2 linked regions of the Neurospora crassa OR74A genome follow. The protein of the gene in region 1 interacts with the protein of each later gene in a pairwise test. Links are inferred from orthologs where the notes say so. Each region holds a gene or a part of one and is shown on either strand. Other genes may lie near its edges.

What was found.
Region 2: the proteins of NCU07438 (region 1) and NCU08067 interact in binary tests that used the Saccharomyces cerevisiae proteins (3 or more experiments, as listed by UniProt). The link is inferred for Neurospora crassa OR74A from reciprocal best matches to the Saccharomyces cerevisiae genes LAS17 and SHO1.

Annotation. Positions count from the first base shown.
Region 1 is NC_026501.1:624,986-630,994, reverse strand, and holds NCU07438 (WASP-like protein las17p), read right to left. Parts: upstream 4,644-6,009; 5' UTR 4,422-4,643; intron 4,243-4,421; 5' UTR 3,843-4,242; coding exon 3,633-3,842; intron 3,577-3,632; coding exon 1,908-3,576; intron 1,831-1,907; coding exon 1,799-1,830; 3' UTR 1,408-1,798; downstream 1-1,407. Other genes in the region: NCU07439 (hypothetical protein), read right to left, coding at 5,308-5,469, 5,552-5,623.
Region 2 is NC_026501.1:155,530-161,704, forward strand, and holds NCU08067 (osmosensor protein), read left to right. Parts: upstream 1-2,507; 5' UTR 2,508-3,749; coding exon 3,750-3,899; intron 3,900-3,977; coding exon 3,978-4,286; intron 4,287-4,347; coding exon 4,348-4,857; 3' UTR 4,858-5,587; downstream 5,588-6,175. Other genes in the region: ro-10 (RO10), read left to right, coding at 260-482, 553-983. UniProt on the Saccharomyces cerevisiae protein: Plasma membrane osmosensor that activates the high osmolarity glycerol (HOG) MAPK signaling pathway in response to high osmolarity.

The DNA.
Region 1 (6,009 bases):
AATAACGCCACCCTTTCCCAACTTCCCCCTTCTTCCTATCCACTCCCTTTTACGTCCTTCTCTCCAAGTCGGTATCCCCAAAGGGTCTGGCCAGGAAGTAAAGGGGTCGTCCAGGAAAGTCCAAAAAAGCTGTCTTCTCTCTCAAACCATTCTGGTGGTCTCTGTTTTCGGTGTGTGTCGGCCGTACGCAGCCAGCCCACGTTTTTTTTTCAACCCATCAACCATAACCGTTAACAGCAGCAGCCAGTTTGGTTCCCCGACAGTTTGGTGTGCCTATTATTTCCTTGTTTTTCCGGTAACAAGACAAGAAACAAATCTTACGAACAAAATCAGGAGGAGGAGAATCGGAGCCAGGTACAATGGTGGGAGGGACGTCATTTACCTGGGTCCGGTTAGTTGGTTTGCGGGACTCGAGGTCCTACAACCAGGCAGAACGAAGGAGGAAGGCTGGCAGAGTAAAAAAGTTAAAAAAAGGGGGGGCGAAGGACATAAAGAGCATCGATCCATCCGCAATGAAAAGAGGATGGTTACGTGCACTCTGGGATATTAAAAGGGGTTAGGCTGTTTTTATGATAGGATGGCTTTGTCATAAACGTCTTTTATGTTCTTTTAGGGGGCTCTCTCATGTCTGGTTTCTTTTTCTTTTTTTTTTTCCCTCTCTCGAGCTAGGAAATGGTATTTTGGTACGATCACACATTACTAGGCTTCTCGGTTCACGCGAGATGTGTCTGTCGGTCACTGGAATGTGACCCTGTAAGAGCCAAAGCACGTCCTTGTTCTACTCGAGGACAAGACGCAACATGTGTTAAACAGCACCTCTTCATCCCCTCCTCGCTCAAGTCCCCATCCGGCTATGTACATATATCATTTTTCGTTCCTCTTCTTGCTCCTTGCAAGACCCGCCCGCACCGCCCAGTAAAAGTCTTGCTTGTAACAACATTCCATCAACCTCACTAGAAGAGAACCGCCGAGATGTCCTACTCTTCACTATTTATGCTTATCCTGGTCCAGTTGTTCGATATATGACCAACACTTCTTCTACGATGTTTCGGAGCTGTCCGTCTCCCCCTTATTCAAATTGTTTCTATGAGACTAAACCAAACCCAAGTGACGAAGTAATTACTGGTCCGTAGGTAGCTCTCGGAAAGCAGCAGCATAAGAAACTCGGGACTCAGGAACATTGAAATTGTTGAAAGCGGCAACTACTGTAGTCACGCGACCGAGTATTTTCCTTTTTTCCAATACAAAACACTGTCAAACAGTCCTAGGTAGGTAGGTAAGTAAGTAAGTAATCTTCAAGATACATATATATCAATGAAACCTCTTCAGGCACTCGCCGCTGTCTTTGAAGAGTATCAAGTTAAGATGGGAAACAGAGAATAAAAAGCTGGTATAGTATTTCTGAAAGTGGAAAAAAAAAGTATAATTTTGCATTTCTTTTGTTTTCTTGTTAAACACCAGTGACGAGGTGTGAATATTTCCAAATACGGTGAAGCTATATATATATATATAGTATGCAACGACACTGCATCCTTTCTTTCATTCCTTCCTTCCTTCCACCCCTCAGCTTTCCTCTTCCCCTTCCTCTCCTTCTTCTTCTTCCTCCTCCTGTTCCAGCAACGGCCCATCCTCGCCGTCATCATCTCCTCTATGGCCAAATAACGACCAGATGAATGGATGATGGTTGGATATCGGTGTCTCTCCAGTCTTGCTTTTCATTCCTTTTGCACTCTTCTCCTACTTGGAACCTTGTTGTTTTCCGGTGGCTCTTCACCGTGTCATTGTTGGTATCGGGCACTTAGTCCCAATCATCACCATCATCTTCATCATCTGTTTTTCCACCAGTGTTAGCATCATTCTCGACATGCTCTCACACTTCACAAGCCAGGGATAATCCAGATACTTACCACTCTTGCTAACCTTCTCCTTTCTCTTCTGCAACGCCAACGCCAACGCATCCGCCATTCCACCACCGCCACCCGGCGCAGCTCCAGCGGGCGGCAATCCACTGCTTGCGGGCCCACTATCGGAGCCACCAGGAACAGCAGCACCGGAACGATCGCGAATCTGGCTTCTGTCTACCTTCTTCAACGCCCTGATACCTCCCGCGGTCTTGATGCCGTCCAACACGGCCGAACGACTGCCGTCAACAGGTGGCAAGGCAGGGGCGGGCGGTGGAGGCATACCACCTGGAGGAGGGGGAGGAGGAGGGGGAGGGACACCACCCATACCACCCGGTGGAGGAGGCGGAGGCGGAGGCGGTGCGCCGCCTGATGGTGCGGGCATGGGTGGCATGGGAGGCGGCGGCGGGGGAGCATGTGCTGCGGGTAGAGGGGGCGCCGGAGGTGCTGGCGGTGCCGGTGGTGGCGGAGGAGGCGCGCTGGTTGCGGGAAGGGGAGGTGGTGGAGGCGCCTGGGTGGCCGGTAAAGGCGGCGGAGGTGGCGCGTTCGAGGTCGGGAGAGGCGGTGCCTGCGGTGGTGCCGGGCTTCTAGTTGGCAACATGGGGGGCGGCCGTGAGCTCGCAGGCGGGAGGGGAGGTGCTGGTCCCGGTGCCTTGGGAGGCAGAGGAGGTTGCGCAGCTGAATTTCTCGGGGGCGGTGGCGGAGGAACAGAGCTACGGCTGGGAGGCGGCGGGGGTACACTTCGTTGGCCTGTGAATGGCGGAGGAACGCTGAACCTCTGGCTCGGGTCCTGATCTTCGAGTGGCGTCTTCGGCGGCCGGGGAGGTGGTGGAGGTCCAGGCGCAGAGGGCGTATGTCGCGGGGGATCAGAGTGGGCAAACTTGCCAGCATCGGCGATGGGAGGAGGAACAGCAAATCTCGGCGGAGGGGCCGGTTCCTGGTGGTTTTCCGTGTCGAGCTTGCCGGATCTCCTTGCTGGAGGGGGAGGCGGGGGTACTGGCCCTCTCCTAGAGGTCGATGGAGTTATCGACTCGGAGACACTGCGCGGAGCAGCAGCAGGAGGAGGTGGTGGGGGAGCTCTCATTGCGGGACCATTAGGAGGAGCGGATGGCGGCGGCGGCGGCGGCGGAGGAGTGCTCGTGTGTATACCCTGCTTCGCTTGCTCCTGTTTCAAGAACTCAATGATAAAGTCCTGGTTTTCGCGGATGAAGTCGTCGTCGAGGCCTTGGGCCTTGAGGTCGTCACCGAAGTGTTCCCTCCACAGGGGATCGAAAGCATCCAGGGTCGCAAACTCGGAAGGAGGCTTGTATCCGTTTATTCCATTAGTGCTTCCAGCTCTCATACGGCCTGCCGGTGCAGCGGCACGTGGCGACTCGGGCGGGGTGGCTGTCGGAGACGCGTGCTTATGTCCTCCAAACAGACCGCCGAAAAGACCGTGGTGCTTGTGGTGGTGTGCCTGGGATGCGCCTCCGAAAGGTGTCTTGCTGGTAGCCTTGCTGGCGTTCTTTTCCCTGTCGTTCATCTTCTTGAGGAACTGCTTGGCTTCCTTCTCGTCCACGAAGGACAAGCCAGCCAGGCATTCCTCAAGCTCGAAGGTATGGAAGAAGACACGGTCCTGGTTGTAGTTCCAAGTGTCGAAGATCTCCTGGTCCCATATCACTCCCCTGTTTCCGGGCTGTCCGATGTCAGCCAAATGGTGGCCAGCCACGCAATCGTCATTTTCACACTTACCGAGATATCAACCATCTTGATCCAATATGTGTTGCCCACGAGATCATTTGCCAGAACGACGGCACCCTGGAGGCCGGTATAGGTCCATCTGGACGGGTTGGGGTAGGCTACATAGAGCCTGGCGACGGCGACGGCGTGGATCTTGTTGGTCTGCTTGGGCACGCAGCGCTTGACCGTTTCCTTGTCGTCGTCGCTGAGGATGGACGGCATCGTGAATATATATGGGGGGTGGAAGCGTGGAAGTGGCTTGAGGTAGGTTGCGGCCTGTCGTCCCCTTTAGATCGTCCAGGGGGAGCAAAGCATGGATAGATTGGGAGTCGTTATGCGGAAATTCGGTAGAAGGACTCGGCCGGCGGGCGCAGCGCCGAGAGGTACTGTTATGAAGCTGAGTCGTCGTGCCTTGATCCGGTCGGCGGGTCGGTCGGCGAGGGGAGGGGGGCAACGTCGACCGAAGGGTGAGGTAGCAAGTCGGAAGTGGGATGTCGTATTAATGCTTTTCGGGTCGTTGGCGCTTGTTATCGACGGCCAAGTATCTTGTCGGTACAAGATAAAGTAAAGCTCCGCGCTTCCGTGGCCTTGCCGCGTAGGAATAAAAGCAGTTGACGGAAGCCTAGAAGAGACAATGGAAGTTGCCGGTTAGCTAGAGGTAGGTCTGGGTATTGGAGGCACGGATGTTTGGTGGTTGGTGGGAGGAATAAGGAAGACTCGGCCGCCCGGATGTCCAATGACTGAAAGGAGCAAAAGCAGATACTGAGTAGAAGAGACGGCGGCAGGCTGGGAATAACGTACCTCGGACAATGATCCAGCAGCCTTCAGTTGGCAAGCTTAGTTATAATCTGCCGTGAAAATTCAATGTATTAAAGCTGTACAGACTACAGAGAGAGGAGCAAGTCCCATTGCAAGGTAGACAAGAAGGAAGTTGAATTGCGGGTGTACCTGGCAAGAGGTTCCTTAGGCATGCAGTGAGTGTACACTACTTAACTACACTATGTACGGGGATTGGGAGTTGCATCACTACGGCGGCGGCAACGACCGGGCTGTTTGGCTTTGACTGAATGGAATCAGGATGGCAACGAAACCCCAGCAAGCCACAATGACCAATTTCCGACGGGAAGCGACCAACTTGTGGACATGAACCAGATAGCGTCATGACATTGTGCCGGGGGTGGATAGGGCGTCAATTGTCCGTGTCCACTAACAGTGGGTACCTATCCCTCAACTGAACCCCTCCACTATTCCCGCCCGCCGCTTGCACAGCCGACCTTTCGCTTGCCCGCCGTGATGATGGATGTCCAACGAGACGGTTCCTCCGAGAGCTGGGTGTTTGAGGGACATGTTGAAACTGGCAATGACAACAACTTCCATGTGCATTTGGAGGTTATATGGCTCAGGTTGATATAGGATGAAAGTAGTGTAGGTATGTACGAACATGGGATGACATGAAAGTACCTACCTACCTTCACATGCTAACATTGCTCCCATTTGAGACAACTTTCGAGGACCAGACCCCTCTCATTTGGGCGCAATTCCACCACCAAAGTCACTTTAGGCTCCAACAGGACTGATCCATCAGAGTAATTGTCAAAACAGTTCAATTATGTTATGTGTATGTGTGTGTATCATTCAGTCATTGCAATCATTCCATCCATTCCCCTGTTTGTCCGAGTCCATATCTTTACTTGTTGAGCGTCTCGGCCTTGGCCCTGCGCTCCTCCTTGGTGCCCTCCTCGCCGCCGATGTTCTGCGAGATGGCGGGACCGGGCATGGCCTTTGACGCCTGCTCGAACGTGGCCTTGGCACTATCAGCGAGCTTGTTGAGGGGGTTGTTGGGGTTCTTCTATTTGTTTGGCCAAAGAGTCAGTTTTCTGTTTTCTGTGATTCACACAAGGCACCAGACTAGGGAGGAAATGGTAACGTACTTGCTCGTCCTTCTGGGTGTCGTGGGGAAGAATGTTGACTTCCTTCTTGCTGAGATCGTCGCCGCCGGCCATTGTGATGGTCTTGATGTTATGACTTGTCTTGATGGTTCGTGAGGAGTGGGTCGTAGTGAGACAACTGAGAGGAGTCTTGATCAACTTTTTCGATATCGTCTTGCAGGAAGATGGGTAAGGTGTAGAAGTGGAAGGTTTTGAAGGTCGAGAAGGGTCTCTTTTATAAAAGAAAACGATGGATGAGCAAAAGGGAATAAATAGGAAGAAACCTGTAGTCGTCGTACCACGTACAAGGGGCCTAAAAGAGAGGGTGTAAGACAATGACGTCGCCTGGGGGTGGTCACGCGTCGTTTACTAGTGTAGGTATGCGGCGGCAGGCACACTGAATGACAGCTGCTAAAACCTCCCACGAACAGCGCATCAAACCGACAAGACGGAGCATTGGA
Region 2 (6,175 bases), about 470 kb from region 1:
TCCAACGGGCGGTGTCCGGGATGCGGAGGCGGGGTTGAATTGAACGGTATGTTACCTTACAGCCTTACACGACCCGTCATCGGTCTAGACACGCGCCGTCAAGGTTCTTTTTCCTCTGGACAATTGCCACTGCTTGAGCTCAGCTTCTGTTTACCATCTTAATTCATCTTTGCGACATCCCCTCGAGGCGGGTATAACCGATACCACCGATACCGCATCGCATAACCCCAATTACCAACAGAACTCGCCCACCAACACCATGGACGTCTCCCAGGAAACCTCAAGCCTCGACAAAACGTCTCTAGCCACCATCTCCCTCCTCGAATCCCGTCTCCGGCGGATCGAGCACATCCTCTACGGCCCCTCCGACCCTCCAACGCAAGCGCCCTCTTCCTCCGCAACGACCTCTCTTGCCCAGCTTGAACACCGCTTCAATCTGCTCATTCGGCGCTTTCGCGTGTACGCCGAGCTGCTTAAAATTCGTACGTCCCTCTCTGTCTCCCACCTTTCCATTTCGCATCACTTCAAAGCTAACCAGAGGCCCCAAACCAGACAAAGCCAACCCCACACTCTTCCACACCTCCCCCTCGGCCGATCAAAAGCTCCCACCAACGGACCTCCCGCCTGCTGCCATTCTCGCGACAGTCCTTTCCTACGCCTCCCAGTTTCCCCAGACCGCGTCCGCCCTAGTTGCAGCCGCCCCAGCCAACACCATTGAATCCGCGATTCCCGACAGCAAACTCTCGGCCGAGTTGGCGAGCTTGATACCCCGGATGAAGGGACTGGAGGCCATGCAGTTGGCGCAAGAGGCGGAAATAGCGGAGCTCAGGGAGAGGAGCGAAGCCGTGATGAAGGCATGGTATGAGAAGAGGGTGCTGGGGTACGGCAAGTTTGTGGCGGAGGGTGAAGCGAGGGTGGAAAAGTGCGAATTGAGGGTAAGGAGAGCGGAGAGGGTGAGGGAGATGGACGCCGCTATAGAGTGAGAAGGCAAAGAGGAGGTTCGAGACAAGATTATGCGATACATGGCTAGTGAAGCGGAGGAGCATGGATTTTGGCTTGCGGGAAACAAAACTCACACGGAAGCCATTTTACCGCCGCTAGAGAACGGCGTCACGATTGATCAACAGGTTAGGCGACCGCGAACAAATCACTGGGGTTGTGCGTATGGAATACGACACGCCGTTGGTAGCGCGCGTGCACTTTACGAAGTGTGAAGAGCAGATCAACAGTGGTTGGCACATTCGTACGAGAACAATGCTAGTGACCAAGGGAATGGGGCAGATGTCATTGCGCGGCAGATATCACGCGACAGATGCGCGGGAGTCGGGCGTCATCTTTGGCCCACTGGAATGTTCAGCCGATATCAACACTCTGCTCGCCGTTAGCACCGACAAAAACCAGATCGACGGTGCTGTGGTAGCGCTCTATCTGGAATGAGAATTCACGGGAGAGGCTTTTTACAAACGTCACAAACACGCTTGATAGCCGGCAGTGATTGTTTGGCTCCTGCAGATGGGATTCCGAAACGAACGGCGTTGCCCTAGAACTCACGCGGCGAGCCTAAAGCCCCTGCCTGCATGCTGCATGGGTGTGGATTCGTGGCATGGTGAATCCGTCTCTCTGTTGACATTTTCTGCCCGTCACCGAGCTCAGCTGAGTGATGTCGCATGGTAGCCAGCTCTCAGCCTATCATTTACAGTCGGTCACGATGTTTCTGGACGACCTAGCAATGAGTGAATGGAGCACAGACGCAAGCCACATGGCTAGCTGCCTGACTGACTTCCGAGTGTTACAATGTTGTGAATGTTTGAGACTTTTTGACTATGAGTTTGAACAGTGTCGAGGTAAGATATATCAAGATGGAAGAAGAAAACAAGAATAAAAATAAAGATGTCCTGGCCATGACCCAGTACCCTAGAGCCATCATTCACTTTGAACAGGTTAATCACCCAAGCAGAGTCTACCTCTAGGTAGGTATGACTCCCCATCAATCACCACCATCAGCTACAAAGACTGTCAAAAAGTGCAGAAAAAGAAATCGAGCTGCTACAGTAGCCCGCCCTGTGTCTGTGTACCTCTAATTTGCTCCATGCTCCCGTCCCCACACAGCCGCTAGAGGTACAGTAGGTAAGCAGCGCCTGGAATGTCTTGGCCTAACGATTTGCAGTGAGATTGAGGACCGTGCCTCTTCTGACTGGACATTGCATTCATTAGCCCAGCAAATGCAATAATGCGATTGGCTCGTTCGCAGTGTTGCCGCGTGTTGCCCGGACATTGTACCTATGTCACTGCAAGGGAAGGATTCATTCATTGTGCAGCGAGCAGCCGCCAGGCAACGCACTCCAGGAGTCCAGAGCCTCCACAGCGGACATGGCTCCCCCCCATCTTCAGTGGATTCAGTGGGCTCCATTGTTGGTCCCTTCCTCACTTCTCTTGCGCGGTCTCGTCCACTCGTTTCCACAGCAGCAGCCACCTCATCCCCCCCCGGTTGCTGCCCGCCCCGGAGTCCCTCAGCCAGGCCCCGTCGTTGGCCTTCCATTCCGGATCTCCCACCACCACCCAGCCGTCGTCACCCACACCCACACACACACCATTTCCCTTTTCACGTCCCCGTCCGTCCGTCCTGCCCGTGCGATCCCCTCATTTCTGTTCGTTCCCTCCTTCAATTTTTCTTCCCTTTCACTTCTCCATTGGCCGGCGTTGATCATCGCCCCAGCCACGTCCAACAACAATTTGCTCAATCCATCAATCGCTCCCTTCGTTCCCTCAACCTCATCAACCTCGACGACGACGACGACGACGACGACGACGACAGCATACGATTGTCCGACCCTGAGCTGAGCTGAGCCCTTTATTAACGCGAACCGGAACAAGACGGGGGGATAGTACAATACGACGTTGGCAGGTACCGAGATATCACACCCGACTACCGTCATACACCGGACAAACAAAGAAAAAGGGAAACAAAAGAAGAAAGAAAACAGGAAAAAGGAATCCAGGACCATTTCCAGACTTCCAGTGGACTCTTCTACCGCCCTTCTTCCAACTACCGATTGATCTTGCGTGTTTACCGTATCTACCCATACCGTACCGCCGCCGCCATTCGTTCCAACGGACAACTACCGTACCGTCACATCTCCCGACCCGTGCGACCGACTCGTTGCTTATTTCCCCTGAAGATTCAAAGGCTCTGTCCTCGTCTTGAGTGTCCTTGGAGTACCCGACGGCCACTTCCCTTGGACTCAGCCTCCTCTTTGCGGATTGCCAACCAACAAACACCCGACGGAGCAGCCCGACAGCGACCACCCAATCTTTCAATAACATTGCAACTGTCCTACCTTCGACTCATTTCCATACATCGCCCAATTACTACCTACCCATATTTGCAACGACCGAGACGAGCCATACCGCGTTGCTGGACACCGAATTCCTCGCTCAACGTCTTGCAGCAAACGACAATTGCTACCCGACCCGAATTTCTTGCTTCGACTTCGACCACTTGTCGCCGTCGAACTTCCTCTCTTTTTTTTTTCGTGACATTGCATCTGTCATTGCAGAACAAACACATCGCATTACCAACCGCGGACTGGTCCCCGGAATACGACACACACACGGCCCCTCGCCGTCATCTTATACCCCAAGTGAAGGTGTGCGTCAACTAAAGTGTCCCACACACGTCGGTCCATCACTTATAACACGGACCTCGAATATCCCGAGAGGACGCTCTTCCTTGGCGACCTTCGCCCTTGATGCAATCGTACGGAGGATCGGTTAACTATCCCCCGTCCTTCAACAACCCCAAAATGGAACACGGCAGGAACTCGTACCGCCGAAAAGGCATAGACATGGGCAACATTATTGGTGACCCATTTGCTCTGGCCACTACTTCTATTGCTACTGTGAGTTTCCATACGCGCGCGCGCTGGCGTCCACCCTTTTCCCGTCCTGTCGCCTTCACGAACTGACAATCACCACAGCTGTCATGGATCATCATCCTGTTTGGATCCATCTTTGGCTTTAGGGACCAAAATGACGGATCGAATGGGGCTCCCGTCATTGTTTGGCCAACCTACAGCTGGTTCACCCTCGTCTTCAACTTCTTCCTCATTCTCGGCATTTTCATCGTCATCGCCTCGGACAGCGCTCAGACCTACCATGTCGCCATCGTTGGCTACCTGGCCGTCGGGCTGGTCGGCTCCACGTCGTCGATCAACAACCTGATTTACAGTGGCGTTGCGTCCATGGAGGCGACAGCGGCTGGGTATATCTTGTTGTCCATGGTGACGGTATGCGGTTCCCCGCTAACTTCCCCCAGCTGGCTGACCCCATTTGCTAACGTCCCGCCAGATCATCTGGATATTCTACTTTGGCTCCGCCCCATCGGCTGTTCCCCGTGCCTACATCGACTCCTTTGCGCTGACCAAGGAATCCACCCTCCCTGCGCATCACATGAGCCGCCAAACCATGAACCACAACGGTCTCTCCTCTCCCAATGCTTACGGCTCCTACAACATGCGCCCTGAAACCTCGGCCTCGGGCCTCCAGCCTCCGCAAATGTACACGGGTCAGCTCAACGGGCTCGAAAACCCCGCTCGCCAGTCGCAGATTCCCCAGGGTTTCTCGTCCAACAACATCCCCAAGCCGCAAGGAGAAGGGGAGATCGTTCCGCCGACGGAGTACCCGTACAGGGCCAAGGCGATATTCAGCTATGAGGCCAACCCGGACGATGCCAACGAGATTAGTTTCTCCAAGCATGAGGTGCTGGAGATTAGCGACGTGAGCGGGCGGTGGTGGCAGGCACGGAAGGAGAATGGAGAAACGGGTATTGCGCCGAGCAATTACTTGATTTTGCTATGAGCGGGCTTGAATGGGTCGGGGATGGAGTTGAGGTTTTTCTTCGTCTTTTTGAAAAGAGAGGATTTGGCGTGTGAACCGCCAGTACAAAACAAAATCATGAAGTGGTTTTTTTTCTTTTATCTATCTTTCTTTTGAGTCGGCGTTTTATACCCACATTAACGTTACACTTTCTTCTCGACCACCCACGGGACTCGTAATGCGACACACCAAAAACCGTGGCTCGTTTGGAAACGAAGGCGAAACCGGATGTTGGATGCGGACGGGGCAAGGTTTGGGTGGAAATGGAGTTTTTTTTCCCTTTTTTCTTGCAATGTCATTTTTCTATCTTCTCTTACCCTTTTTCTCAATGTCTTTCCTTTCTCGTGTTACACTAGTTCTTGTATCAACTTTACATGTCTTCTATTTTGCGTTCGGCAGCTACGGCAGAGGATAGGCCGCTACTGGAGAATGGCAATGGAAGAGGGAACAGGACAAAAAAGCGGGGGAAGATGGAAATGGGTGCTGTTTTTACGAATTTCATGCATGGCGAGGAACGGAGAGAAGATGGACGGACGGATGGAGGCTGTGAACCCAAAAGGAGATGTACCCACAAGCAGCAATTGAACATCCAGCGGCCGGAGTTGGGGATGTTGGAACTACCTACCTGTAGAGAATGAAGACACAGTCCGCTTGATCATGATATCGATAATGTACCGAGTCCGATGATTAATTGAGCTTGTTGGCTGCCTCCCAATTTGCGGGTCTCAATCGCCAATTTCCAATCTTCATGATGGAGGAAAATCCGAGATTATCGAAATTAGCCAGGAGCGAAGGTGTGGAGATGCGAGGATCTTACCTAACCTCGCTCCAGGTCGCTCATCACCACTACCCATGTCCATCACATCTCGGACAGGGATATTGCTTACATTGTTATGGTCCAACATGGAAACAGCCAGCCACCTAGTGACAAAGACAGCTATGAATGTACACTACATAGGTAGTTTGTTACAATTGTAGTAGTCCGCTAAAGCAATAGCAGATTGGTTGCAAACATGCCCGTCCAAGGAACTGACATCTCTACTCTAGAGGTATTTCCCCAGTTCATTGCGTTGCTCTCTGTTGGTAACTTACGTAGCTTCATCCATCTCCGCACCCAGTTTCATTGTAGGTATTATTCTACGCCGTCACCGCTCTGGTTCTGATGGTACCCATCGTGCCAATCTTCCTCCGTAGGCCGCTTGTGCTCCTTCTCGTCATATTGCTCTTACTATCCATATGTTTACAATTTCCACCACAAGAAACTTGACTATTCGACATCGATGAGGTGTCCATTCTTTCT